7 linked regions of the Canis lupus familiaris genome follow. The main gene of each other region encodes a partner of the protein of the gene in region 7 in a complex. Links are inferred from orthologs where the notes say so. Each region holds a gene or a part of one and is shown on either strand. Other genes may lie near its edges.

Region 1 (4,277 bases), on a different chromosome or scaffold from region 7:
AGGGGGTGGGGAAAAACTAACATAATTACGATTGCAGTCCCAGAAAGAGAAAGGAGAATTGGGTAGAAGCATTATTTGAAAATGATCAAAAATTTTCTAAAACTGATGGAAAATATCAATCAATAGAATCAGTAACCCAATAAGTCAAGCAGGGTTGTGTTTTGTGGTTTGTTTGTTTTCTTTAAATCAGCCTCTATGCAGGGGTTTGCAGGGAAATGACATCCAGGTTTTATTCAGGATAGGCGGGCGAAATTCAGACGAGGTTAAATATGCAGGGAAGTCCTGATTTAAAAAAAAAAAAAAAAAAATGTATGTATTCCAAAGCTTGCCGAAGATGGGTTTTAGAGGATTGCTAGTCCTGTTGAATCGGGTCAGATGAGTAGCTGTGTAGGGATATGAGGCTCAACGGGTTCATCCTGATAGTCCTTTAGGGGAAGTGGGTAACCAGGCTAAGGAGGGAGCGGGGCTCCCAGAAGCCTGCTCTCTTGCCCCGCTGGTAACGTGGTCAGAAGTGACGGAAGGGCTCATGAGAATATCGCCTTCAGTGAAGGGCACTTCTGAGGGCTCCCCTTCTCTGGGAGCAAAGCAATGTGGTAGGCTGGTGGGCTAGGGTGCTCTCACCCAAAGGAGGAACCAGGGATGCCTCTACCAGCTTATGGGAAGTGGAGAGCAAGGTGAGGAAAGGCTATCACTTCTCTGATGCTCCCGGACCCTCAGCTCGAGCCCACTTTCTGCTATGTATCTCACAGCCAACCAAGACAGGGTCATCGCAGCTATTCTGAGTGATCTAAATCTTAAACCCAAATATTCCACTTTCGGACCCCTACCCTCCTATTTTTCCAGCTCCCACACTCAGTTACTCCTGCTAATCCTCTTTACTCCTTAGGAACCTCCACTTTCTACCCATGTATCATATCCGGTCCCATTCTCACCTCATACCCAGTCCCTTGGCCCATCACTCAGGTACCCTAAAAAGCTTAGCTCCTTCCCCGCTGCCCCTCCACACTATATGCCTGGCCAACACCTCTCCTGGATGAAGTCAATCTTATTTCTGTACCTCTATTGGGTTTACTGACTGCTACTTAAGGAAAACCAGGGCAGCTCTGATGGCCCAGCGGTTTAGTGCCACCTTCAGCCTGAGGTATGATCCTGGAGACCTGGGATTGAGTCCCACGTTGGGCTCCCTGCATGGAGCCTGCTTCTCCCTCTGCCTGTGTCTCTGCCTCTGTGTGTGTGTGTGTGTCTGTCATGAATAAATAAATAAAATCTTAAAAAAAAAAAAAAAAGAAGAAGAAAAGAAAGAAAAACTACACCCTGGGGAAGATGAGTGCCATGCTCTCTACATATTTTGAAATATAATCGTGTAGAAGTAAAACATGAATGAGACTCAGCAGAAAAAAAGTAAAACAATACACAAGTATACACAGCAAAGAAAATTAGGGTTCTCTCCTAAAAGCATTCCCCCCAAACATTTGCTATTAATAGTTTTGCATATGTTCTATGCATGCATTATTATTGTCTTAAACGTCGCTACACACAGACATAGGAAATCACAGTAGGGATCCCTGGGTGGCTCAGCGGTTTAGTGCCTGCCTTCCGCCCAGGGCGTGATCCTAGAGTCCCAGGATCGAGTCCCACATCCGGCTCCCTGCATGGAGCCTGCTTCTCCCTCTGCCTCTCTCTGAGTCTCTCGTGAATAAATAAATAAAATCTTTAAAATAAGAAAAAAAAGGAAATCACAGTAGCTACATTGTAGGAGACACTTCTGGGGCAACTTGCATTTTTCTTCTTCTTTTAAACTATGTCTTGGAGAGCTTTTCTTCTCAAAAGGTATACACATACTTTATATACTATCTCATTCCCTTATTCATATAGAAGTTATTTACTATTTTCACCATAATGAATATCCTCGGACAGCTTTCTGGATACACGTGAAAGCCTATCTCTCCAGTGGATCCCTAGAAGTGAAATGTTTGGTCAAAGGCTATATGTAGTCAACATTTAATAAATTTAAATTAACCATTCAAAAAGGCTGCACCGAACTGCCCTCCCAAGTGCACAGCAGTCACTTTCGCAAGCTGGGCTCTCAGGGCTGCCGGGCTCTCCTCGTCTCTTTCCCCAGACTTCTCTCCCCCTCAGTCTCCACACACGTGTCTCTGCTCAGACCCCTTCTGCAGCCTCCAAACCCGCGCAAACACGCACGGCTTAGCATACGTCTCACCAAATCTTTGTCGAGAAAATGGCAGTCACCGGGTCTTGCTTTCCTAATCCCCAAACCTACAAAACCCGCCGGGCCTCTCCAGTCCTTCCTGCTGTAACGACGGGGGGAGGGGCCCCTGGTCAGGCAGGGTCGGGCTGTGGGGTCGGGGCCTGCCGCCTGGCGCCCCCAGGCTCCGCCTCCCCCGGGGCCCGCCGCTGCCCGCTCGCTCTCCCGACCACTTGCGCATCCTCCTGCGGCCCCGGGCCTCTTGCCCAGACCTTAAGTGCGGGGCTCGCGGTTCCTGTCCCGGGCCCCGCGCCCCGTGCTCTGGCCTCCGAGCCGGTCCGCCCCGGGCGCCGCGCCGCCTGCCCTCTCCGCCCCCGGCTCCCGGCCGGGCCCAACCCCCGCCCCTCCTCCCGGACGTCTTCGGGCTCCGCTGCTCTAACGCCGCCGCCGCCGCGGGCTCCAGTACCTCGCACACCTGAGGAATGTAATTCTCCTTGAAGTAGCTCCTCAGCCGGGAGTCGGCGGTGCGCAGCGAGGCCATGACCGGGGCCCCCCAGACTCCGCGCCCCGCGCCCGCTAGCGCGTCCCGGCGTTGCCCTGGCAACCGCGGGGCGGGGCGGGCGCGGCCCCGGAGCCCCCCGCCCCCGCCGCCGCGAGCCGCCGGGAGCCGCCGGGAGCCGAGGAGAGCCGCCGGGCGTGGAGGCGGGCCCGAGCCCGGGCGGGAGCGAGGGGAAGCCCACCTCTGGACGGGGACCGCGTCCCCCAGTGAGTCCCCTCGGTGCGCGCGGTCCCTGCGCCTCCTCGCGGAGCTCCGCCCTAGCTCCGCCCCCTCGCTCCGGCCCCGCCCCCGCTCCGCCCCTGCCGCCCCGCCGGGCCGCTCGGGGCGCAGTGGGCGGTCCCTCCGTGTCAGCAGGGCCGTTTCCGGGAGGCGGGGCTCGGGCCCCATTTCCTGTGTCCTCCCGGCGCCGGCGCTCGGGCTGAGGCGGGATCCGCGGCTCCCCGCCTCGCGCGCCAGGCCCAGCGCAGCGCCCCGGCCCCAGGGCAGCATGGGCGGCGCCCGGGACGTGGGCTGGGTGGCGGCGGGCCTGGTCCTCGGGGCCGGTGCCTGCTACTACATTTACAAGCTGGCGCGGGGCCGGCGGCGAGGCGCCCGCGGGCTTCGGCTGCGCCCCTCGCGCTCGGCAGGTGAGGCCACGGGGTGCCCGGCAGGTGGCCGGGGCGGGGGGCGGGGGCGGGGGCACGGACGACGGCCCCCTCGCTGGGGCTCTGAGCTGCCGCCTGCGTCCACCTCGTCCAAAATCCCGGGGTAAAAACGCCCGGATTTTCCTGGCTGAGGGCGGCGTCCCCGCGGAGGATTGGGTGGTTTCTCAGAAGCGCGTGGGTTGCCCCTCAGGGTCAGGACCCGCCGCGGAAGGTGCGGTGGTGCCTGCGGCCGCCCCTGAGGAAGGAGGGCGGGGGCCCCGCCGCGGCGCGGAGGCCCGGGGACTCCCTGCGGTTCGGTTACGAGGTTGCGGAGGTCCCGGGGCCGCGGATGGAAGCAGCTGCCCGCGCGGGGAGCTGGGGGCGCCCCCCCCGCGACCCCCCGCGACCCAGCGCCGGGGTGGTTGCTGCCCCAAAGCCGGTGGTGCATCGGGATTCCGAGGATTTGCTGGGTGTTCTAGGATAGTGCGGGTCACGGATGCCAACCAAGAAACTCCTCCCTACAAATGGAGGAAAGAACTAAAGCTTTATTGTTGAATAAGCGCGACTCCAGATTGCCGTGCCCATCACAGGCGATCAGCTGATGGGATTGAGAAGACACACGTGTCTTCACTTCGTGTATCTGGCGGATAAAGTCTGTTTCGTGTCATCTCTGCATGTTCTGAAGATAAACAGGAACTTGTCCTCAAGAGGGCTTGACAGCACCATTCACACAGAGTCCATCCTAAATTCGCTGGTAATCGGGGTGGCTATCGCTGTTAGCTAATTGCCTTGATCCAGAGGAAAATAAGACTTCTCGGGATCTTTATGATGAGCAGGTGGTTACCACGTGGAGCCAGGCGCCAAGGCTAAACTTAGGGGTCTGCGCTCC
Region 2 (3,500 bases), on a different chromosome or scaffold from region 7:
TGGGGACTGCCTGCCCAGAGGCAAAACCTCAAAGGCTGGGTCTTGGGGCAGCCCCTGCCCTCCTGCACTGGGTCCTCATCCCCAGTAAACACTGCCCTTACCCTTTGGAACCAGAATGGTTTCTCCCACTGTCTCTACTTCCAGGGTCCACCAGATTCCCATCCACACTGTGCACTGCCTGTCTATGCCCTCTCCTCATCTTTCCCACTCTCTCCAGCAAAACCCAGCCCAAATCATATTTACCAAACACCTCCTCCAGAAAGCCCTCCCTGGTTGACCATCCTCCACTCTCTTGGAGCCTTCCACAGTGCACATAGGTTCTTGGTTTGTTCTGTACTTTGTGCTCTGTAAATGGTTATCCTTTTCAAAGATGAGTTCCCAGCCTCTCCTACTGGTTGGGGCTGTGAGGACAGGATCATCATTTATCTGTAGCACGTACCACCACCTGACCTACAGTATATTCTCCTGACTTATTTACTGTCTGCCTCCTCTCCTAAGAAGGAGTGGCTTCCACCGTCTTCCTCACTCTTGCTTGTACCCTCAGCACTTAGTGTCTTGGAGCACAGTAGATGTTCAAATATATTTGTTCTGTTTTGTTTTGAAATTAATGAATCAAATCATTTGGGAATCTCTGGGCTCAGGATTATCTCCTACATCAGACTAAGTAATACCTGAGGGCTAGACCTGAGATTCTTGTTCAGACTGGGAGCTCCCTGGAACCAGACAGGAAGATGTCCACCTTCAGGCAGGGAACATCCCAATGCCAGGGGCTACGTCTCTATCCTCAGACTAAGCATCCCTGATAGTAAAGGCTGCCCGCCCCCTCTCAGGCTGGGGCTCCCTGAGGGCCGCGGAAGGTCTTCCATTTGCTTGGGTGCCCCCAGGCAGGACCAGCCCAGGGTACCACGTTGTGGTATCCCCACCACTGTGACTCCTGCTTTCCCTCCTGTTCTCAAAGACAACCCTATCCTGAAGCAGCTGCTTCCAGAGCACCAGCAGAAGGTCCTGAACCACTTGTCACCCGACCTGCCGCTGACCGTGACCGCCAACCTGATCGACGACGAGAACTACTGGCGCCGTTGCTGCATGCAGCGCTGGCCCGTGTGCCACGTGGCCAGGCACGGAGGCAGCTGGAAGCGCCTGTTCTTCGAGCGGCACCTGGAAAACCTGATAAAGCACTTCATCCCGAGCACCACAGACCCCGCGGTGATCCTCGACCTGCTGCCATTCTGCAGGAACTACGTGCGCAGGCTCCGCGTGGATCAGTTCCTTCCGCCCGTGCAGCTCCCACTCCAGCCGTGGAACGGGGAGCTGTCCGACTCGGGCAGCGAGGCCGAGATGGAGCAGCCCACCGGGGACCACTACCAACTGCGGGACCTGGTAGCTGGCCTGAGCCACCTGGAGGAGCTGGACCTGGTGTATGGGGTCAAGGACTGCGGCATGAACTTCGAGTGGAACCTCTTCCTCTTCACCTATCAGGACTGCCACTCCCTGGCGGCCACCATCAAGGCATGCCACACCCTCAAGGTACCAGGCGGCCGGGCCTTCCTCTATGTCCCATTCTCCCCTCCTCTTCCTGCTCTTCCTCCTCCTCCTCCATCCCCATCATCTCCCATTTCCTTCTCATTCACTGACCAAGTGAATGCACCCTGCACCAAGCTGGATTCTGGGGATGCAGAGTCGAACAAGGCACTGCTCTCCCAGTTCTCAAGCCACTTACTCATCCAAGGAACATCTGCACTCTGGGCCCTATCCTTGGTGCTGAAGATTCAACAATGAGCAAAATTAATACCATTTGTGGCCTCTGGAGCTAGCAGTCTGGTGGGATAAAAGGCACTCATCAGCAATCATGTAAATGTAAAATTACAACTAGGCTAGGAATGCTAGATTTAGCAAATAAAAATACAAGACATCCAGTTAAATTTGAAACTCAAATACTCGACAGATAATTTTTCAGTAAAGTATGTCCCACGTATTCTGATTGGAAGAGGGAAAGCCTGCCAAAAAGTCAGAGAAAGAGGAAACGGGGGAGACATGGCCTCAAGTCACAGAGCGGAGGGACGGGTGAATCTCAAGAAAAGGAGCAAGCAGCAATGGAGTGGGGTGATGCTGAGGACCAAATTTAGCAAACTCAGAGGTCACAGAGCCGGAACTGTCAGTGGAGTGCCAGGAACAGGGGCCAGATTGGAGTGGTTTATGGAGAGAGTGGGAAGTGAGGAAACAGGATGGCTGTGATCAGCTTATTCAAGAACTTGGCTGTGAAGGGTATGAAGGGGAAATCAGTAATATGAAGGGTTTAGGTTTTCTTAAAAAGATATTTGCATGGGTTTAAAACCAGTATAAAGTTCCACTGGACAGCAACAAAGCGATGAGTCCAGGAGAAAGGCATAGGTTCATTTACCAAGGAAGGTTCTTGAGAAGGCAGGGAGGGTAGAATTGAGAACTGAGGTGGGGCAGTTGGCTCTGGGCAGAGGAGAGAGGATGTGGTGGGTAGCAGTGGGCTCGTGTTTGGTATTAGGAAAATGAAGGGTTCCCATTCAATGGCCAGGGAGGCAGGAGGAAACTGAAGTGCTGAAAGGAGGCTGTAGGGTGGCTCCCTGAAGTTTGAGAAGGCTGGAGAAGGTTGAAATCATTGTTATAGAGTAAGAGAGAATATGTTGTCCAGAGAAACAGGGCTAAATTGGCACACAGCATTGAGGGTCTGAGGGTGGTTCCAGAGATACCAACCAGAACTGTCATGTGACATTTTCCGTTACATCAATTGCTTGGGCACAGATAGGCAGAAAACAGAGTGGGGTTGATCCATGGTTGGAGCTTTGCCAGATAGGTACAATGAAATGATAAGAGACACAAGAGGCTCTAAGCTGGCTAAGGGAGACATAAAGAAAGCAGGGGAATGAAGAATGGGAAGAGGGTGGAGAGGCCCCGTGGAAGAGGGAGGAGTGGAAGGAGCTGGTTAGAAGGAGAGGGTTAGGACTCCCATCTCCAGGATTCCCCATGCTAGTCCTACCCCATTCTTTTGTCTTTTCTCTCCATCCTTCCATTCCCCATCTCTCATCCTGCTTCTTTCCCTGGCCTCTCCATCCAAGAGTTCCTCTCCTGGCCATCAAACAGGAGTTGGGGCATCAAATAGACCTGGATTTGAACCTACCTCTGGGACTTGATCACTGTGACTGTGTGACCCTGAGCAAATGACCTGTCCACCCTCAGCCTTCATTTTCTATCTGCAAAGTAGAAAGAACTCATTCTACCTGCCTGGGGGTTAGAGAGTCAGAGATAATTGTTATGATAACACTCTAGCAGCATGCCTACCGCATAGTAATTTGTCAATAAATGGTAGGCTTTCCTTCTACTGCCTGCCACCAGTTCCGCACTGCTCTGCCACGCGGGGAAGCCCTGCCCTGGCCAGGGCCAGTTGGATGGCCAACACCAGATAAGCAGAACCTCGGGCCTCCCTGTGGCCTGCTCCTCTACCTGCAGAAGGTAGCTGGGCAGGCAGG
Region 3 (3,500 bases), on a different chromosome or scaffold from region 7:
TAAGGAAAGACAGGATCAAATTTTTAGTTTAAAAAAAAAATGATTTTCAATTTTAAAAAGATCACCTCCAATTTGGGGGCTGTTACAGTTGTTCAAGAAACAACAGTCAGGTCCAGCATGGTGTTGGGGGACATGGAAATAGAAGATAAAATCCACAGGACTTAGTGATGGTTTGGATTGGGAAATGCTGGGGTCAAGATGAAGGAGGAATACTCCTAGATTTCTAGCATTGAGAAATGGGAAACCAGAAGAGCATGAACTTGCTGGATACTGCATTAGCATAGCCCTGTCTTACCTGCATGAAGCACATTTACCTATGCCCCAAGCCTAAAAATAGGGAAAATAGAGAAACAACAATAACACATCAAAAGAACAAAAATCTTTATACCATGATACTTCCTCTTAACACTGCTGTTGTACCAGAAAATTTGGCTAGTTTGGAGTATCTTTTTTTTTTCAGTTTGCATAAAGATTCTGTTTATATGTTTTCACTTTTACATAAGAGACTTCTGTTGTATGAGACATGTTTGTATCAGCCTTCTTAGGATCACCTTATTGTGGACAAAACCATACTGGAAACGAAACTATTTATTATTCATTTAGCCTAGAGTAAAATTCTTCATATGGCATTGTCATCATAAAGCTTTTTCAAGCAGAAAGAATTTTGGCTTATGGAGGGGTAACATCTTGGTAGTAACAGCGCAGTGATTTTCAGGAGAAATACAGCCTTTCAAAAAAAAAAAAATACAGCCTTTCTAAATACAGTCTCAAGTGTTCTTTTTTTTTTTTAATTTTTATTTATTTATGATAGTCACACAGAGAGAGGAGAGAGGCTGAGACACAGGCAGAGGGAGAAGCAGGCTCCATGCACCCGGAGCCCGACGTGGGATTCGATCCTGGGTCTCCAGGATCGCGCCCTGGGTAAAAGGCAGGCGCCAAACCACTGCGCCACCCAGGGATCCCATCAAGTGTTCTTTTAAGTCCAGATGCAATTAATTTTGCTGTCTGGCAGACCAGTGAAATGGAATGCTCAAATTAAATATTTTAGAATCAGAATAACGGAAAAGTAAATCTATTACATAGATATTGCCAGTTAAAAATCAGAATTTAATAAAAATACGAAACCCATGTTGTATATTAATTTACCATGAGACTCAAACATGCATTTATCAATAATTGTATTTGTCAATAATTAAGCTGACTACCTAATAGTCCTGCATCACATGATGCCAGAGTTTCTTCCATCTCTGGCACTGCTCTAATAAGCAAAAAAGAAAGGATAAGCTGAAGCTCTTTTGAAAGGGTATGGAAATAATTTAAATGTCATTCAACCCTCTCTTAAACTAATCTGTGTTTTCTTCCCATTTTAGGTGACTGCATTTTTTGTGAAATTGTAAATGTACCATTGAAGTTACAACTAATTTAAGAAGAATGGAAGAGTATGTTCAAAATTCCAATTTATTTTGTATACGTATTTGTTTATTTATCTATTATTTGAATTGTGCCTTATGTTAAATTTATTTATCTATTGCTGGGAACAAAGTACTCCAAAGCTTAGTAACTTAAAATATCAACTTTTATTATTTCACATGGTTTCTGTGGGTCAGGAATTTGGGAACAGCTTTGCTGGATGGTTCTGGGTTATGGGTCTGTCATAAGGTTGAAGTTGGCCAGGGCTTCAATCGTCTGAAAATTTGGGGCTGGAAGATCCACTTCCAACATAGCTCATTTACAAAGCTGGGGAGTTGATACTGGCTGTTGGCAAGAGGCATTAGTTCCACACCCTCAAAAACTTCCCCAAAGAGCTGCTTAAGTGTCCTCATGACAAAGCAGCTGGCTTTTTACAGAGTGGGAGATACGAGAAGGAGAGTAAGGGAGAAGCTGCAATGTCTTTTATCACCGAACGGTGGAACCCACAGTATCTTCCTGGTTACATAGGGTAGTTAGTCCTATTAATGTCGGGGAGACTACAAGGGTATGATTACAAGAAGGTGAGAATCATATGGATCCATTTTGGAGATTGACTACTACATACTGTTTTTGTTTGTTTGTAAAGATTTTATTTATTCATGAGACACACACACAGAGAGGCAGAGACACAGGCAGAGGGAGAAGCAGGCTCCCTGCGGGGAGCCTGACGCGGGACTGACTGGATCCCAGGACTCCGGGATCACACCCTGAGCAGAAGGCAAACGCACAACCACTGAGCCATCCAGGTGTCGATGTTTTTATCTTTTTTTTAAGTAAACTCTGTGCCGGACATGGGACTCAAACTCACAACCCCAAGGTTAAGAGTCACATGCTACACTGACTGAGCCAGCCAGGTGCTCCTGCCACATTCTGTTTTTCATTAATCATGAGATACTTTTGATTAGCATTTAAAGATGTTGCTAGAAAAAAAAGGTAATTTGGGCTCGAATTCAAATTGGCTAAGCATGGCCAAATAGTATGGTTAGGTTAACACAGAGTTACTAAACAGTAAGTGGAGGGACGCCTGGCTGGCTCAGCCGTTGAGCTCCTGCTTTAAGCTCAGGGCGTGATCCTGGAGTTTTCGGATGGAGTCTCACATCAGGCTCCCTGCAGGGAGTGGCTTGCCTTTGGTTAGTCAGAATGTCACAGGAAGATATTTAGCAGAACCACATGTAAACTCCTTCTTTTGTTCGTTATCTTGGTTATTTGACAATGTGGACTTCACAGGAGCCCATCTGTATGATGCCCGTGCTTTTTAGTTGAAGCAATTTTTAAACATTTGGTGGCTGACTTAATTTTTTATTTTTTTCTTTAGAGGCCAGTTAGAAGCCTCAAATCTTCCAGCGAACATCTGGCATTCTGAGGTGACAGTGTCAGTGACAGGCGAGCCACCCAGTGCTGTAGAAGAAGAAAAAGAAACAGCTGAAGAAACAGAAAAAGAAAAAGAAGTCCTCCCGGAAATCGTAGAGCCACTCTCCATTCTAGATGTGCTGAGGATCTCTGCAGTTCTGGAAGATACTGCAGACCAGCTCTCTATTCTAAACTATATCATGCCAGTTCAGTATGAAAGAAAACAAAGTGTCATCATGGTATATACACTCGTCATTATCTAGTTCTTGCTTTCTTTCCTCTTTATTTCTCTATCATTTACAGTACTTACGCCATCAAATTTAACTTGGGAAATAGCATCTTTAACTCAGATAAAAAGGGCTATAATAATTACTTGAGATACATACTCTGAATTGATGGAATGAAATAACCATAGCTCAAGATACATTGACAACCAGAATATCCTTTTCTTCCAACATGTTGGCATTATTCAAAAAGGCCTATAGTAAATCAGGATAAATACAGTATATGCACTGAGAGTAGCCAAATTACTGACTTGCCCCACCTATCTTGTAATTCTTAGCTGCTGAAAGCTAACTCAATCCTCAGGGGAGGAAATTCAGTTGGACCTTCTCAACGTTTCTTCTAAAATAACTTTGTTATATTGTTGAACACATTGCACCCTGCCTTTGTGAACATCC
Region 4 (2,374 bases), about 49 Mb from region 7:
TTAAAGATTTTATTTATTTATTCATGCATGAGAGACACAGAGAGAGGGGGGCAGTCACTATATGGGGAGCCTGATGTGGAACTCAATCCCGGGACTCCAGGATCACACCCTGGGCCAAAGGTAGATGCTCAACTGCTGAGCCACCCAGGCGTCTCAAAACATATTCCCTCTTAGCTGATGTTTACAATGCAAACTAAGAAAAGATATTTGACTTATTTATTTTCATATCCTCAATGCCTTGGGCATGCCAAGCCCTACATAATTACTTGCTAAATCAAAGAATAAACCTTTTAGAGAAGCAAAAATGTAAAGGACAGGAAGTTTTTCCTTTCTCTCTTGGTTACAGGATAAAGTTGAACTATCTTAGCACGACACATAAGATCTTTCACAATTGTGACCTCAGAGTTTCCTTAACCTAAAATAGCCTCAGTTTCTTTCTTTCTTTCTTTCTTTTTACTAGGCGCCACACCCAATATGGGGCTCAAACTCATGACCCTGAGACCAAGAGTCAGCCAGGGGCCCCTAAAATAGCCTCAGCTTAGCTACAGATACCCAAGAGTTGCTTATCTGCCATGCGGACCCTGAATTCCTTTCATAATCCTTGCCTTATTTCAAATTTAAATTCGATCAGCATTTATGGAGCACCTCCTGTACATACTAGGTATTTTTCCCCATACACTCTCACATTTAACTCACAATAAGTCTGTAAGGTTTGTATCAATCTCTCTTTAAAGATGAAGAAACTGAGTCTCAGAGAGAGATGTACCCAAAGTTACACAGGTAGTAAGTGACAACCAGACTTTGGACGCACATTTCTCATCCCAAGCCTACTGCTCTCTCTGCTGTACCTCAATGGTATATGTCAGATCTTTATACGAACTATGGGAAAATTGATGATCCTGGGGGGGGGAGTCTGGAATGATCCCATTCAAGTTCTGCTTTTGAGGTGTCTTTGGAGACTCTGTTCACAAGTAGAATGTCACTACCCAGTCCCCTTCCTCCTCCCGCCCTGCCCTGCAGAGACGTGCCAGAGGGAAGCTGAGGCTGCGCAGCAAGAGGCTGAACGGGCCCTCGGAGAGCGGGACCAGACTCTGGCTCAGCTTCGGGCCCATGTAGTGGACATGGAGGCCAAGTACGAGGAAATCTTACATGTAAGCACCACCACCTCTGGAAGCCCTACCACCCCAGTAGCTAGGACTCCCCCATTCCCCTGAACCCCAACTAGTTCATACTATCATTGTCATCAATGGGAGACCAGGGGGGAGGAGAAGCATCTCCACAGAGAACCCTGCTCTGCCCCGAGGGCAGACAGCCAAGGCACGCAACCACACTTACTTAGTAAGAGTAAGAACCTGAAGAAGATGCTAGGAGGAAAGCTCGCAGACCAGCCCAGGGAAACCCTTGCTCTACCCTCTCTCCCTTCCTGGAGCCTGAAGCTTGGTGTCCACAGGGCAACCTGGACCAACTCTTAGCCAAGCTGAGAGCAGTCAGGCCTCAGTGGGATGGGGCTGTGCTGAGACTTCACGCCAAGTACAAGGAGCAGCTCCACCAATTTGGACTCAACCCCCTGGATCTCTAAAGCTGTAAGCTTCGGGGCAGCCCGGGTGGCTCAGCGGTTTAGTGCCGCCTTCAGCCCAGGGCCTGATCCTGGAAACCCGGGATCAAGTCCCATGTCAGGCTCCCTGCATGGAGCCTGCTTCTCCCTCTGCCTGTGTCTCCGCCTCTCTCTGTCTCTCTCTCTCCCTGTGTCTCTCATGAATAAATAAATAAAACATTAAAAAAATAAAATAATAAAATAAAATAAAGCTGTAAGCTTCTAGTCTCTGGGCCTCTGAGAGGCTCCAGCAATAAAGCTGTCTTGATGTAGAACTCCACAGAACTGTGGTCTGTGCCTTTTTGACAGATACAAATATCTCTTTGAGGGCATGTTGGTTCTGGCGGACCCATTACTCTGAAGATTGAATGAGAGGATAGAAATTTGACATTTGACAAACTCTCAACTCCTCTCTTAGAGAAACTGGGCCCCATGCCTTGAATCTTGGGCCCTTTGGGTCCTTTCAAATCACCATCCCCTACTCCCACTACCCACACCCCTCCCCGGCACCAACACAGGTAGCCAGATTTGTGGGGGCAAGGCCATTTCTTTAATAGACCAGCAGTGACCAGGCACCAGCCCCCACAATCCTAAGGTGCTGACAGAGAGAAGGTGTAACTGGTCTCCAAACTCTTGCAATATATGGGGGGAGTCCAGGAGTCATGCCTAAGGCAAGTTCCAGATGGCTTCAATCCTAGCCAATCCCATAGCCCACCTATAAAGGGAACACTGTGTTGCTCTTCTATTTTACAACATTCCCAATACTACTTTACTTCTGGT
Region 5 (3,500 bases), about 22 Mb from region 7:
TAGGCCACAGTAGAGAGTCAGAAGCCCGGGAGAGTGGTGAGCATGGGAGGGATGAGGTCCAGTCTAGGTACGTGTTTAAGAGCACACTGGCTGCTGTGGGGAGAAAGGGCTAGAGCTGGGAGACCAGGTCTCGGTTCGCTGTCCAGTCAGGAGGCGGTGGGAGGGAGAGATGTGGAGGATTGAGGGGCTCTGAGGGGACAGGGCACCAAGGGTCAGCCATGGGCAGTGTGGTGTTGGTGCATGAGGGGTGGACCGGAGTGGTCCTGGGGCTTCCTGTATGTGGATGGCAGGCTGTGAAGGTGGTGAAGCCCTGGCACCTGCGGGTGGACCCTTCTGCCTTTCAGCGGCCCAGCCCTCGGAGGGTCTGCAGGGGCACCTACTCCACCCCTGGCCTTTGCTTAACTTGGCCACACGATGGCTCAGTGCCGGGACCTGGAGAACCACCACCACGAGAAGCTCCTAGAGATCTCCATCAATACTCTCGAGAAGATACTGAAGGGTGATGTCGATGAGGACCTGCCTGATGACTTGCGCCCGGTGAGCACTGTAGGCGGGGCTCGGTCCCCAGTGGGCCGGGTGGTGGGCAGGGTTGGGGGGGGCAAGGCGGGCCGCTGAGGGACAGACAGATGGAAGAACAAAGTCCCCGGGCCCCACCTCCCGTGGCTCTAGTAAGCCTGAAAGCTTCCTGGAGCCTCAGTTTCCTCGCCTGCAAAAGGGACAATGACCTCCTTTGCACAGTGCTTGGCAGATGAAATAGGCCAACAAGCTAACACCTGGTGGGCACTCAGTGGGGCCCATCTAAAGAGGGGCTCATGATAATTGAGTTGTTTCAACTTACCAACAGGTTAGTTCCCCAAAGTCTTTTTTTTTTTTTTAAGATTTTATTTATTCAGGAGACACACACACACACACACACACACACACACACAGAGGCAGAGACACAGGCAGAGGGAGAAGCAGGCTCCATGCAGGGAGCCCAGTGTGGGACTTGATCCCGGTCTCCAGGATCAAGCCCTGGGCCAAAGTCGGCGCTAAACTGCTTGCCCCCACCCCCAAAGTCTTTCTGTGGGGCTTCTGGCAGCCTCTGAGAGAGGCAGCTGCAAACACAGGTTAAGTTCTGAGACTTCACAGGCAGGTCTTCCTGAATGTCTGATAGGCAGCATTACTAGGTTGTTGGAACAGCGGGAGAACCATTTGATTGGCCCATTGCTTCCCACCTTCCACCAGCCCATCCAGGGGTGGGTAGTCCCACAGCAGCAGGGGCCGAGCTCCTGAGGCTGCTCACCGGGGAGGCTGTCCGGGTCTCCTGCATCAGGGTCCAGTGGGGGTGCAGTGGGGTTGTATGTCATGTCTCTAGGGAGGGGCACAGGCCAGATACTTGTCGGGAGCCTTCCTTCCTTCATCACTCATTCCACTCCCCATTTCTCAGCTTCTCTCACCTCCATGTTAGCACCAGACCAAGCCATGTTGTCCTTTCCCTGGACCACTGTCTCCTTACATCCCTTCTATAGGCTGTTCTCCACGCAGCAGCCAGAGATCCTTGGGATCCAAACCTCATCCTTCTGTGACTTTGTACCACACAGTAATGGCCTCCTGTGACCCTTGGATTAAGCACTTCACTTTACTGTAGTCCACCAGACCCTCGAGCCTGGCTTCTTCCCCTCGCCCCAGCCTCGGAGCCCTTCCCCAGGCTCCCAGGCTTGCTCCTTTCATTTGATATTCCACCTAGCAGACAGTCCCCTTCCCTCTGGTCTCCGGGTGTCTCGGTCTTCCTTGTTTGGCTCTCAGCCCAAATGGCAGCTCTTCGGAGAGGCCTTCCCTCATCACTTTCCTGGGAAACCACCATCTCTCTATCACACACACCATTTATCGTTGTCAGGGCATTATTAAAATTACAAGCTATCATGTGTGTGTTGATTTGCTCTATGACTCTTCACACTAAATCCAGGCTCATGGGGAAGGCCGAGATGGCCTCTTCACCACCATGTACCTCGCCGGTGCCAGCAGTGGTGCACGGTACAGCCACAGGGCAACCCAAGTGCCAGGAGTTCATGAAGCCCCACTTGTCAGGTTCTGGCTAAGTCTGGCAGACAGAGACCAGCAGTCCTGTCTGGGGGCTGAGACAGGCACCCAGGGCAGCAGCTTGTTGGCAGGGCCACTGTGTTGCCAGCCCTCCCTCCCTAAACACCTGTCAAATGCTCTTACTAACCAGACACAAGGAGCGGTCACTCCCCCTGAGCCCTGAAATCAGATGTCCCCCAAGAGCCCACTCTGTTAGACCCCAGATGGACCATCGAGGAGTCATGGAGCTCCCTCATGGCACAGTTTCCAGGTCTGTGACACTTAGTGGGCACAGGATTAAAACACCCCTCCCTAATAACCGGGACACAGAAAAATATGGACCCCGAAACTCTGGCAGGCAAGCAGGCTGGACTGGTGCTTCCGGTGGCGAGCCCTCTCTCCTGCCAGGATGACAATGCCTGGCACCATCTGACACCTGTTTCTGTAGCTTCAGGAAGGTTCAGTACCCACTGACTGGGTTGAGGCTGACCACAGTGGCTAGAAACATGGAGCTCCACTCCCTGCAGGCTTGCCATTGTCAAGGCAATGAAGCCTGATGCTCACATATTATCTCCCCCAAAGGGCCCTACAAAGGTGGTACTGTTATCATTCACAATTTACAGATGAGAAAATAGGGTAAGACTTTGTCTCAGAGAAGTCTGTTAAACTGCCCAAGATGACACCATTTGAGAGGACCAGAGTCTGAATTGAGACTCCAGCCTGAGAGATGCCGAGCCTGTGCCCCTCATTGTAGACGATAAGCTGGCGTTTGCCGGCATTCTGGGTTGGCTCATGGCCCCAGGCACTAAGATAATGGGGCTCTGCCTTGGGCTTTCTGGCAGGACTGGTGTTGAGTGCTACCCTCGAGGCCTCATGAGGGCGGCCAGCAAAGCCACTGTACGCCCTGCCCTCTGCAGGCCAGGGAGAGCTTTGGCCTTTGGGAAATGCCTGCAGTTGCATGGAGAGACATCACCAGAACCTTAATACTGTGGTGTAGGTCTCCTTAGTTATTAAGTAGGCTCCATGTCCAGCATGGAGCCCAATGCAGGGCTTGAACCCCCAACTCAGATCAAGACCTGAGCTGAGGGATGCCTGGGTGGCTCAGTGGTTGAGCACCTCCCTTCGGCTCAGGTCATGATTTCAGGGTCCTGGGATCAAGTCCCGCATCAGGTTCCCTGCAGGGAACCTGCTTCTCCCTCTGCCTATGTCTCTGCCTCTCTCTGTGTCTCTCATAAATAAATAAAATCTTAAAAAAAAAAAAGACAGGCTGAGATCAAGAGTCGGACACTTAACTGACCAAACCACCCAGGCGCCCTAAGTTCTCCTTACACTGAAGCAACAAAGCAGGATATTGTTCTTGGGGCGGGGCAGAGTGGGGGATGCCCTGATTGTAAAAGTAGTAACAACAACAAATAACTAGCATTTACTGAGGGCCTCCT
Region 6 (3,942 bases), on a different chromosome or scaffold from region 7:
GAAATGGAAAGACATTACATGCTCATGGGTTGAAAGAACAAATAATTAAATGTCTGTATTACCCACAGCAATCTACACATTTATTGCTATCCCTTTCAAAATACCAACAGCATTTTTCCAGAACTAGAACAATCCTAAAATTTGTATGGAACTACAAAAGACCCCAAATAGCCAAAGCCACCTTGCAAAGGAAAAGCAAAACTGGAGGCATCACAATTCCAGACTTACAAGTTATAATTAAAAGCTGATCAAAACAGTATGGTACTGGCACAAAAACAGACACATAGGTCAGTGGAACAGGATAGAAAATCCAGAAATGAACTCACACAACTATATGGTCAATCTTCAACAAAGCGGGAAAGAATATCAATGAGAAAAAAGTCTTTTCAAACGATGTTGGGGAACATCTCTCTAAATATGAGATCTGAAACCATAAAGCTCCTAGAAGAGAACACAGGCAGTAACTTCTTTGGCCTTACTTTGTGCTCATTTTTTGACCATATGTACTAGATATATTTCAAATAGAACTTGGATCACATTCTACACATTTGTGTTACATCCTTTCTTCCTCATTTCATACATCTTTAGGTCTTTGTAGGTCAGACCCATTCTTAGTAGCTACATTGTTATCCATCCCGTGAAAGCTTTATCAATCCCATTTTTTTAAAAAAGATTTTATTTATTCATGAGAGACACAGAAGAGAGGCAGAAACACAGGCAGAGGGAGAAGCAGGCTCTCTGCGAGGAACCTGATGTGGGGTTGGATCCCAGGACCGCGGGATCACGATCTGAGCCAAAGGCATGCTCAACCACGGAGCCACCCAGGCGTTCCTATCAGTTCCCTATTGATGGATTTCAGGGTCACACTAGTGTTTTAACATTATAAATAACTACAGCGAGCATACATATACATCTGTGTACACTTCTTTCAGCAAACACTAGTTGAGCACTTACTACATATTAGGCATTATGCTCGGCGCTATTTGTACAGTGCTGAACGAAACTGATGTAATTTTCACCCCACTAAGGTAGAGCCTAAGTCCCGTTCTCTCTCCGGGAGAAGAATACAGAACCCAGGGGGGCGTGCAGCCTCAGGTGGGCGTGGCCTGGGAGCTGTTCGCGCGCGCTCCAGCTGCGGGTCAGGTGCCTGCTTTTCCCTGGCGACGACTTGTTGCTAGCAACGGGGCCGTGGTCCGGCGGTGGTCCAGGCGCCGCGGGCCTGGGGCGGGAGGCACCTGCCATGAATCCGCCGGGATCTCTGGGGGTTCTGGAGGAGAAGGAGGAGGAAGACTTGTCCACCCCGATTCTCGGGCCGTCCATATACTCTGACAACCCTCAGGAGCGGATCCAGGCCCGGCGCCTCCGCATCGCGGCGCGACTGGAAGCCCGGAGGCGGTGAGCGGGGGTCCGGGCGGTCGGCAGCGGAGGCGGGGACCAGGCGGGCGCCTTCCCGGGGCGGGCGGGGCCCACGTGTGAGCGCAAAGATAGGCGGTGAGCTAGGAAAAACTTCTTCCGGAAGGTTCAACCAAAGTATGGGATATGAACACATTCAATACACTTGTGGAGTCAAAGACGGAAATAATAGTCTCTGCAGCAGGAAGTTTTTAAAAATTTATTGAAAGCCTGCTGTGCCATGCACTGCGAGCAATGGACTGCAGACACAGGCCATCCGTGACCTCCTCTCAGAGGTCTTTCTTTCCTCCTTCCCATCCCCACCTGCCTGCCTTCCACAAGCATTTCTGGAGTGGACCTCAGCTGTCACTTCTGCTGGTCTCAGTAGCTTATCTGGTTGTATGACACAAACCCTCATTCCTGAAGGGTCTGTGCCTGATAATCATACCCTTCTCAGGACAGGGTTGTTGCACCTGTCTACTCATAGGCACAGTGGGCTGTCACAAGAGGATTCTAAGAGGCACCTGCATGATCTTCTGAATTCCTGAACACCCTCACTGTGTAAGAGCACTTGTACCCTGTCCTGCTAGCCAGGGTCACCTATCCTACCAAGATGGTGACTTCTTGTTTGCTGGCCATTAGATCACAGAGTGGTATGGCTGTGTTCCAATAAAACTTCACTTTAAGGGATCCCTGGGTGGCACAGTGGTTTAGCGCCTGCCTTTGGCCCAGGGTGTGATCTTGGAGACCCGAGATCGAATCCCACGTCGGGCTCCCGGTGCATGGAGCCTGCTTCTCCCTCTGCCTATGTCTCTGAGCCTCTCTCTCTCTGTGTGTGACTATCATAAGTAAATTAAAAAAAAAAAAAACTTCACTTAAAGACGTTGAAATTTGAATGTCATATAATGTTCATGTGTCACAAAATTTTCTTCAGATTTTGATCTTCTTTTCTGAATTCATTTTTTAAGAGAAATTTTAGATTCACAGCGAAATTGAGTGGAAAGTACAGAGATTTCCCATATACCACCTGCCCCCATGCATACACAGCCTGTCCCACTATCAACATCCTCCAGAATGGTACATTTGTTACAAATGATGAAACTCGGGCAGCCTGGGTGGCTCAGCAGTTTGGCACTGACTTCGACCCGGGGCATGATCCTGGAGACCCGGGATTGAGTCTCCCGTCGGGCTCCCTGCATGGAGCCTGCTTCTCCCTCTGCCTGTGTCTCTGCCTCTCTCCCTCTGTCTCCCATGAATAAATAAATAAAATCTTAAAAAAAAAACAAAACAAAACAAATGATGAAACTCCATTGACACATCATCACCCTAAGTTCATAGTTTACATTATGATTCACTCTTGGTGTTCTATGGATTTTGACAAATATATAGTGATATGTGTCCACCATTATAGTATCATATGGAATAGTTTCATTGCCTTAAAAATCCTTTGTGCTCTTCCTATTGATCTGTTCCTTTTTTTTTTTTAATCATTAAAAAGTGTAAAAATCATTCTTTTCTTATGAGCCCTACAAAAACAGATGGGTCATATCTAGCTCTCAGGTCAATCTTGATGTAGTGGATCAACGTGATGTTCTCTGGGGTATCCAAATGGTCCTGATTTATTCAGTCTATGTTTTGACAGAGATCAGGAGAATCAACATGACGCTGTGAGTGTGAGAATTATATGTGTATATATTATTGTCTGTTCCATGTAAATGTGAACTTCTGATTCTTTTTCCTGATTTAGGTAGAAAATAATACATTTGACCCAATCAGCAGCCACCTTGTATGTACATAAGACCACTCTACACTGCTCCAGCAAAGATACCACATTTACATGGCAACAGCAATGAGGCCTACTACTTGGTTGAGCTTGCAGTATTGATAATCATATTCTCAGATGCAACCAGTTTTTGCAGGGACCAGACCCGTGAACTAAATGGAAACATGATGGGGGGGGGGGGGGACCACCACTCCTGTATCCTTGAGATCCTTAAGGGTGATACTAATTTCCACCATCCCCACTCCCTAGCCCCCACTTTGTGATTGTTTTTATGTATTCAGGTACAGTTTTAAAGATGTCCACTTGGCCTTCCCTCCCATGATAACTCTTACCCACTCACCAACAACTTAATGTGGGAATTTCTCAAATTTCTAAGTATGTTAAGATCACTCTGATTGCTGTCTGAGGGATTGGTTTGCAGAAGCCAGAAGTATAATTGAAGAGGACAGTTAGGAAGCAGTTGCATTGGTTCTGTGAGGGATGAAGTTGGTCTGGTGGGTTTGGAGAGAAAGCAGATGTAGTCAAGAAATGCTTTACAGCTTAAACTGACTGGATTTACTGATTTTAGATATGCTAGTCAAAGACAGGGAAAAAGCAAGAATGGCTTGAACAGCTGAGTAGATGGTAGTGCCTTGCATTGAAATGATAAAGATGGTGATGGGGGAAGTGAGTCAGGAGGATTTGGAAATCAAGAGTTTGGCTTTGGACATATTCAGTGAAATTGGATTTTGGAAGACTTTAAAACCAAGATGTCCATTAGGCATTTG
Region 7 (2,308 bases):
ACCTGAGTTCATGTATGTAAAAGTGCTTATGACCAGGTGTGGCCTCACATGAGGCACTGGTAAAGGTTAGCTTTATGGTTTCCCAGCACCACCCTCCCATGTCCTCCAGAGCTGAGTGGGCCTGGGCTGGAGTCAGCCTTGGCCTGGCCCTGCGCCCTGCCCTGATGTCGCTCTGATCCTATAGGCCCACAATGACCTGCTGCGCACCTATGAGGCGAAGCTCCTGGCCTTTGGGATCCCTCTGGACAACGTGGGCTTCAAGCCTCTGGAGACGGCTGTGATTGGGCAGACCCTGGGCCAGGGCCCTGCGGGACTTGTGGGCACACCAACGTAGAGCTCGACTGGGACTGCTCCCTGGATGACTTCCCTTTCACCAAGGACAGGAGCTGTTTGTTTTTTAGATTTGTATCATCTGCAAATGAAGGTTTTCTATGTTTGCTTTGTGTCCCATTGCCTGGCTCTGTGGAGGAGAGGCACCTCCTGGGCCCATGGTGCCCTGACCACTTCCTTCCCTGCTGCCTGTCCAGTCTCTGCAAACCCCTGCCCTCCTTCCCACCTCGGGGCCAGGGCAGCACTAGCAGAGGCCAGGCATCGAAGCGGCTTTACAGATGCCAGCACTGACTTTATTGATGCCTGAGATTCAGCTGCTACTGGAGATGGGGGAACCAGAGTCTCCCACAGGGACTGTGACCTGGTGCCCTCTGCGTGGGTGCCTCAGTGAGCCATGGGGATGGAACTGATGCTCACAGGCCAGCAGTTAGCCAGAGGCGATGGCTAGCCACTAGCTCCCTCGATACGTGGTGTAGGACCATGGGCTCAGCAGCAGAGGCACGTGGAACCTGTGTGTCTCGTTGGCGATGGTAAAAACAACCTGAGAAGCAGAGAAGGCACCAGAAGAGAGTGAGGGGCCTGCCTGTATGTAGTACACAAGCAGCCCAGACTGTGGGCAGGGGGTAGGAATTAATAAGCAGGGCAGGAGCCCCAAGGGCCAGCTGGAGCTGGGTGGAGCTGGAAACCTGGCCAGGGCTGTGGATGGGGCTGAACCCTGCCCAGAGAGCCCTCGGCTTAAGGAACCCAAAGGATCCACCCTGGATGGGGCCAGGTGACTGCCTCTGTCCACAGGGGCTGAGTCACTTTTGGCCCCGCCCCCCATCTCACCCAGGGATGGTTGTGTTGTGGTAAAGTCCCTGGACACCTTTCCTCTGGGAGCTCAAAGCAGGTGAACTCATCGTCTGCCACTGCCCTGGGAGAGGTGGGAGGGGTAGGACTAGCCTGACCACTGTAGGAACCTGGGTGAATCATGGGCCTCCACCCCTCTGGCCCACCCCTGGCCCTCACCTCCACATATGGGTAGAAGCTCTCCTGCCCTTTCTTCTTCCAGTAGCCCTCGGTGTCAAAGGACAGCTTGTAGGTGCCTGCCTTCATCGGGCCTGGAGGCAGGAGCCCTGGGCAGCGGCCATCTGAGTCGGTGTAGCTGGGGAGCGTTGAGGGATGGGGAGTGAGAAGTTGCCTCTGCCTGGCCCCACAGGATCTGCATGGCCAGTGGCCTCAGACCCCCCCACAGCCTGAGTCACTGGGAAAGCCCCCTAGCAGGACCATCTAGGGCCTGGGCTCCTGAAGCGTCTCAGGGATACCACTGCACTGACTTTTTAGACAGAACTCCCAATATACAGGAGTAGAAAACTAAAAAAAAAAAAAAAAAATCCCCCCCTATTTTATGAGCAACAATCCTTTTACATTGGCATATTTTTCCCAGATTTTCTCTATACATAACTGCTTATTTATAAAGTTAGGGAAATACTCTAAAATGGATTATTCTGTTCATACTATTTGATAATTTGTACTTTTCACTTAATCTATTGTGTGTGGCTTTCTGGATCAGTAACTGTACCCAAACCACCATCTGCACGGTGGCCTGTTTCCACTGCACCGAGTGTCTGCATGGAGGGCTCTGAGGGCCTGTCCCTTGGCTCACTGATCAGTCCCCGGTCACCTCTGGAGAGCTCTCTCACCAGCTGTACTTTCAAGGTTCTGTCCTGTGACTGGAAGGAGCAGCATGGACCCACACAGTGTATGGGGGTTAGGAACGGTCTCTACGACCCTCCAGAGCGGGCCACTCCCATGTGACCCAGAGGCCCAGCTTTTGTGAAGGATGGGGGGGCGGGGCGGATGAGTTCCATGTCCTCAGGCCCTGAACCTTTGTGGCCCAGCGGCCCATTCCCACCACTAGAGGGAGCCTGCCTCCTTCAAGAGGCTCACAGGCAAAAAAAAAAAAAGAGGCTCACAGGCAGCGCAAGCACCAGCAGGG

The links.
Region 1: GAS8 (region 7) and FBXL13 share a complex: the UniProt entries of both Homo sapiens proteins name them as parts of the nexin-dynein regulatory complex. The link is inferred for Canis lupus familiaris from reciprocal best matches to the Homo sapiens genes DRC4 and FBXL13.
Region 2: GAS8 (region 7) and TCTE1 share a complex: the UniProt entries of both Homo sapiens proteins name them as parts of the nexin-dynein regulatory complex. The link is inferred for Canis lupus familiaris from reciprocal best matches to the Homo sapiens genes DRC4 and DRC5.
Region 3: GAS8 (region 7) and IQCG share a complex: the UniProt entries of both Homo sapiens proteins name them as parts of the nexin-dynein regulatory complex. The link is inferred for Canis lupus familiaris from reciprocal best matches to the Homo sapiens genes DRC4 and DRC9.
Region 4: GAS8 (region 7) and CCDC153 share a complex: the UniProt entries of both Homo sapiens proteins name them as parts of the nexin-dynein regulatory complex. The link is inferred for Canis lupus familiaris from reciprocal best matches to the Homo sapiens genes DRC4 and DRC12.
Region 5: GAS8 (region 7) and DRC3 share a complex: the UniProt entries of both Homo sapiens proteins name them as parts of the nexin-dynein regulatory complex. The link is inferred for Canis lupus familiaris from reciprocal best matches to the Homo sapiens genes DRC4 and DRC3.
Region 6: GAS8 (region 7) and DRC1 share a complex: the UniProt entries of both Homo sapiens proteins name them as parts of the nexin-dynein regulatory complex. The link is inferred for Canis lupus familiaris from reciprocal best matches to the Homo sapiens genes DRC4 and DRC1.

What each region holds. Positions count from the first base shown.
Region 1 is NC_049239.1:17,297,696-17,301,972, reverse strand, and holds the start of FBXL13 (dynein regulatory complex subunit 6), read right to left. Parts: upstream 2,801-4,277; 5' UTR 2,748-2,800; coding exon 2,673-2,747; intron 1-2,672. Other genes in the region: ARMC10 (armadillo repeat-containing protein 10), read left to right, coding at 3,253-3,391. UniProt on the Homo sapiens protein: Substrate-recognition component of the SCF (SKP1-CUL1-F-box protein)-type E3 ubiquitin ligase complex.
Region 2 is NC_049233.1:12,884,119-12,887,618, reverse strand, and holds part of TCTE1 (dynein regulatory complex subunit 5), read left to right. Parts: intron 1-958; coding exon 959-1,527; intron 1,528-3,500. UniProt on the Homo sapiens protein: Component of the nexin-dynein regulatory complex (N-DRC) a key regulator of ciliary/flagellar motility which maintains the alignment and integrity of the distal axoneme and regulates microtubule sliding in motile axonemes.
Region 3 is NC_049254.1:29,443,724-29,447,223, forward strand, and holds part of IQCG (dynein regulatory complex protein 9), read left to right. Parts: intron 1-1,370; 5' UTR 1,371-1,431; coding exon 1,432-1,439; intron 1,440-2,785; coding exon 2,786-3,059; intron 3,060-3,500. UniProt on the Homo sapiens protein: Component of the nexin-dynein regulatory complex (N-DRC), a key regulator of ciliary/flagellar motility which maintains the alignment and integrity of the distal axoneme and regulates microtubule sliding in motile axonemes.
Region 4 is NC_049226.1:14,710,436-14,712,809, forward strand, and holds the end of CCDC153 (coiled-coil domain-containing protein 153), read left to right. Parts: exon of another isoform or gene 1-1,007; intron 1,008-1,020; coding exon 1,021-1,151; intron 1,152-1,450; coding exon 1,451-1,579; 3' UTR 1,580-1,874; downstream 1,875-2,374. UniProt on the Homo sapiens protein: Component of the nexin-dynein regulatory complex (N-DRC), a key regulator of ciliary/flagellar motility which maintains the alignment and integrity of the distal axoneme and regulates microtubule sliding in motile axonemes.
Region 5 is NC_049226.1:41,717,046-41,720,545, reverse strand, and holds part of DRC3 (dynein regulatory complex subunit 3), read left to right. Parts: intron 1-413; coding exon 414-537; intron 538-3,500. UniProt on the Homo sapiens protein: Component of the nexin-dynein regulatory complex (N-DRC) a key regulator of ciliary/flagellar motility which maintains the alignment and integrity of the distal axoneme and regulates microtubule sliding in motile axonemes.
Region 6 is NC_049238.1:20,544,276-20,548,217, forward strand, and holds the start of DRC1 (dynein regulatory complex protein 1), read left to right. Parts: upstream 1-1,142; 5' UTR 1,143-1,240; coding exon 1,241-1,395; intron 1,396-3,942. UniProt on the Homo sapiens protein: Component of the nexin-dynein regulatory complex (N-DRC) a key regulator of ciliary/flagellar motility which maintains the alignment and integrity of the distal axoneme and regulates microtubule sliding in motile axonemes.
Region 7 is NC_049226.1:64,079,848-64,082,155, reverse strand, and holds the end of GAS8 (dynein regulatory complex subunit 4), read left to right. Parts: intron 1-184; coding exon 185-334; 3' UTR 335-781; coding exon of another isoform or gene 782-871; 3' UTR 872-1,338; coding exon of another isoform or gene 1,339-1,474; 3' UTR 1,475-1,808; downstream 1,809-2,308. Other genes in the region: cadherin-1-like, read right to left, coding at 782-871, 1,339-1,474. UniProt on the Homo sapiens protein: Component of the nexin-dynein regulatory complex (N-DRC), a key regulator of ciliary/flagellar motility which maintains the alignment and integrity of the distal axoneme and regulates microtubule sliding in motile axonemes.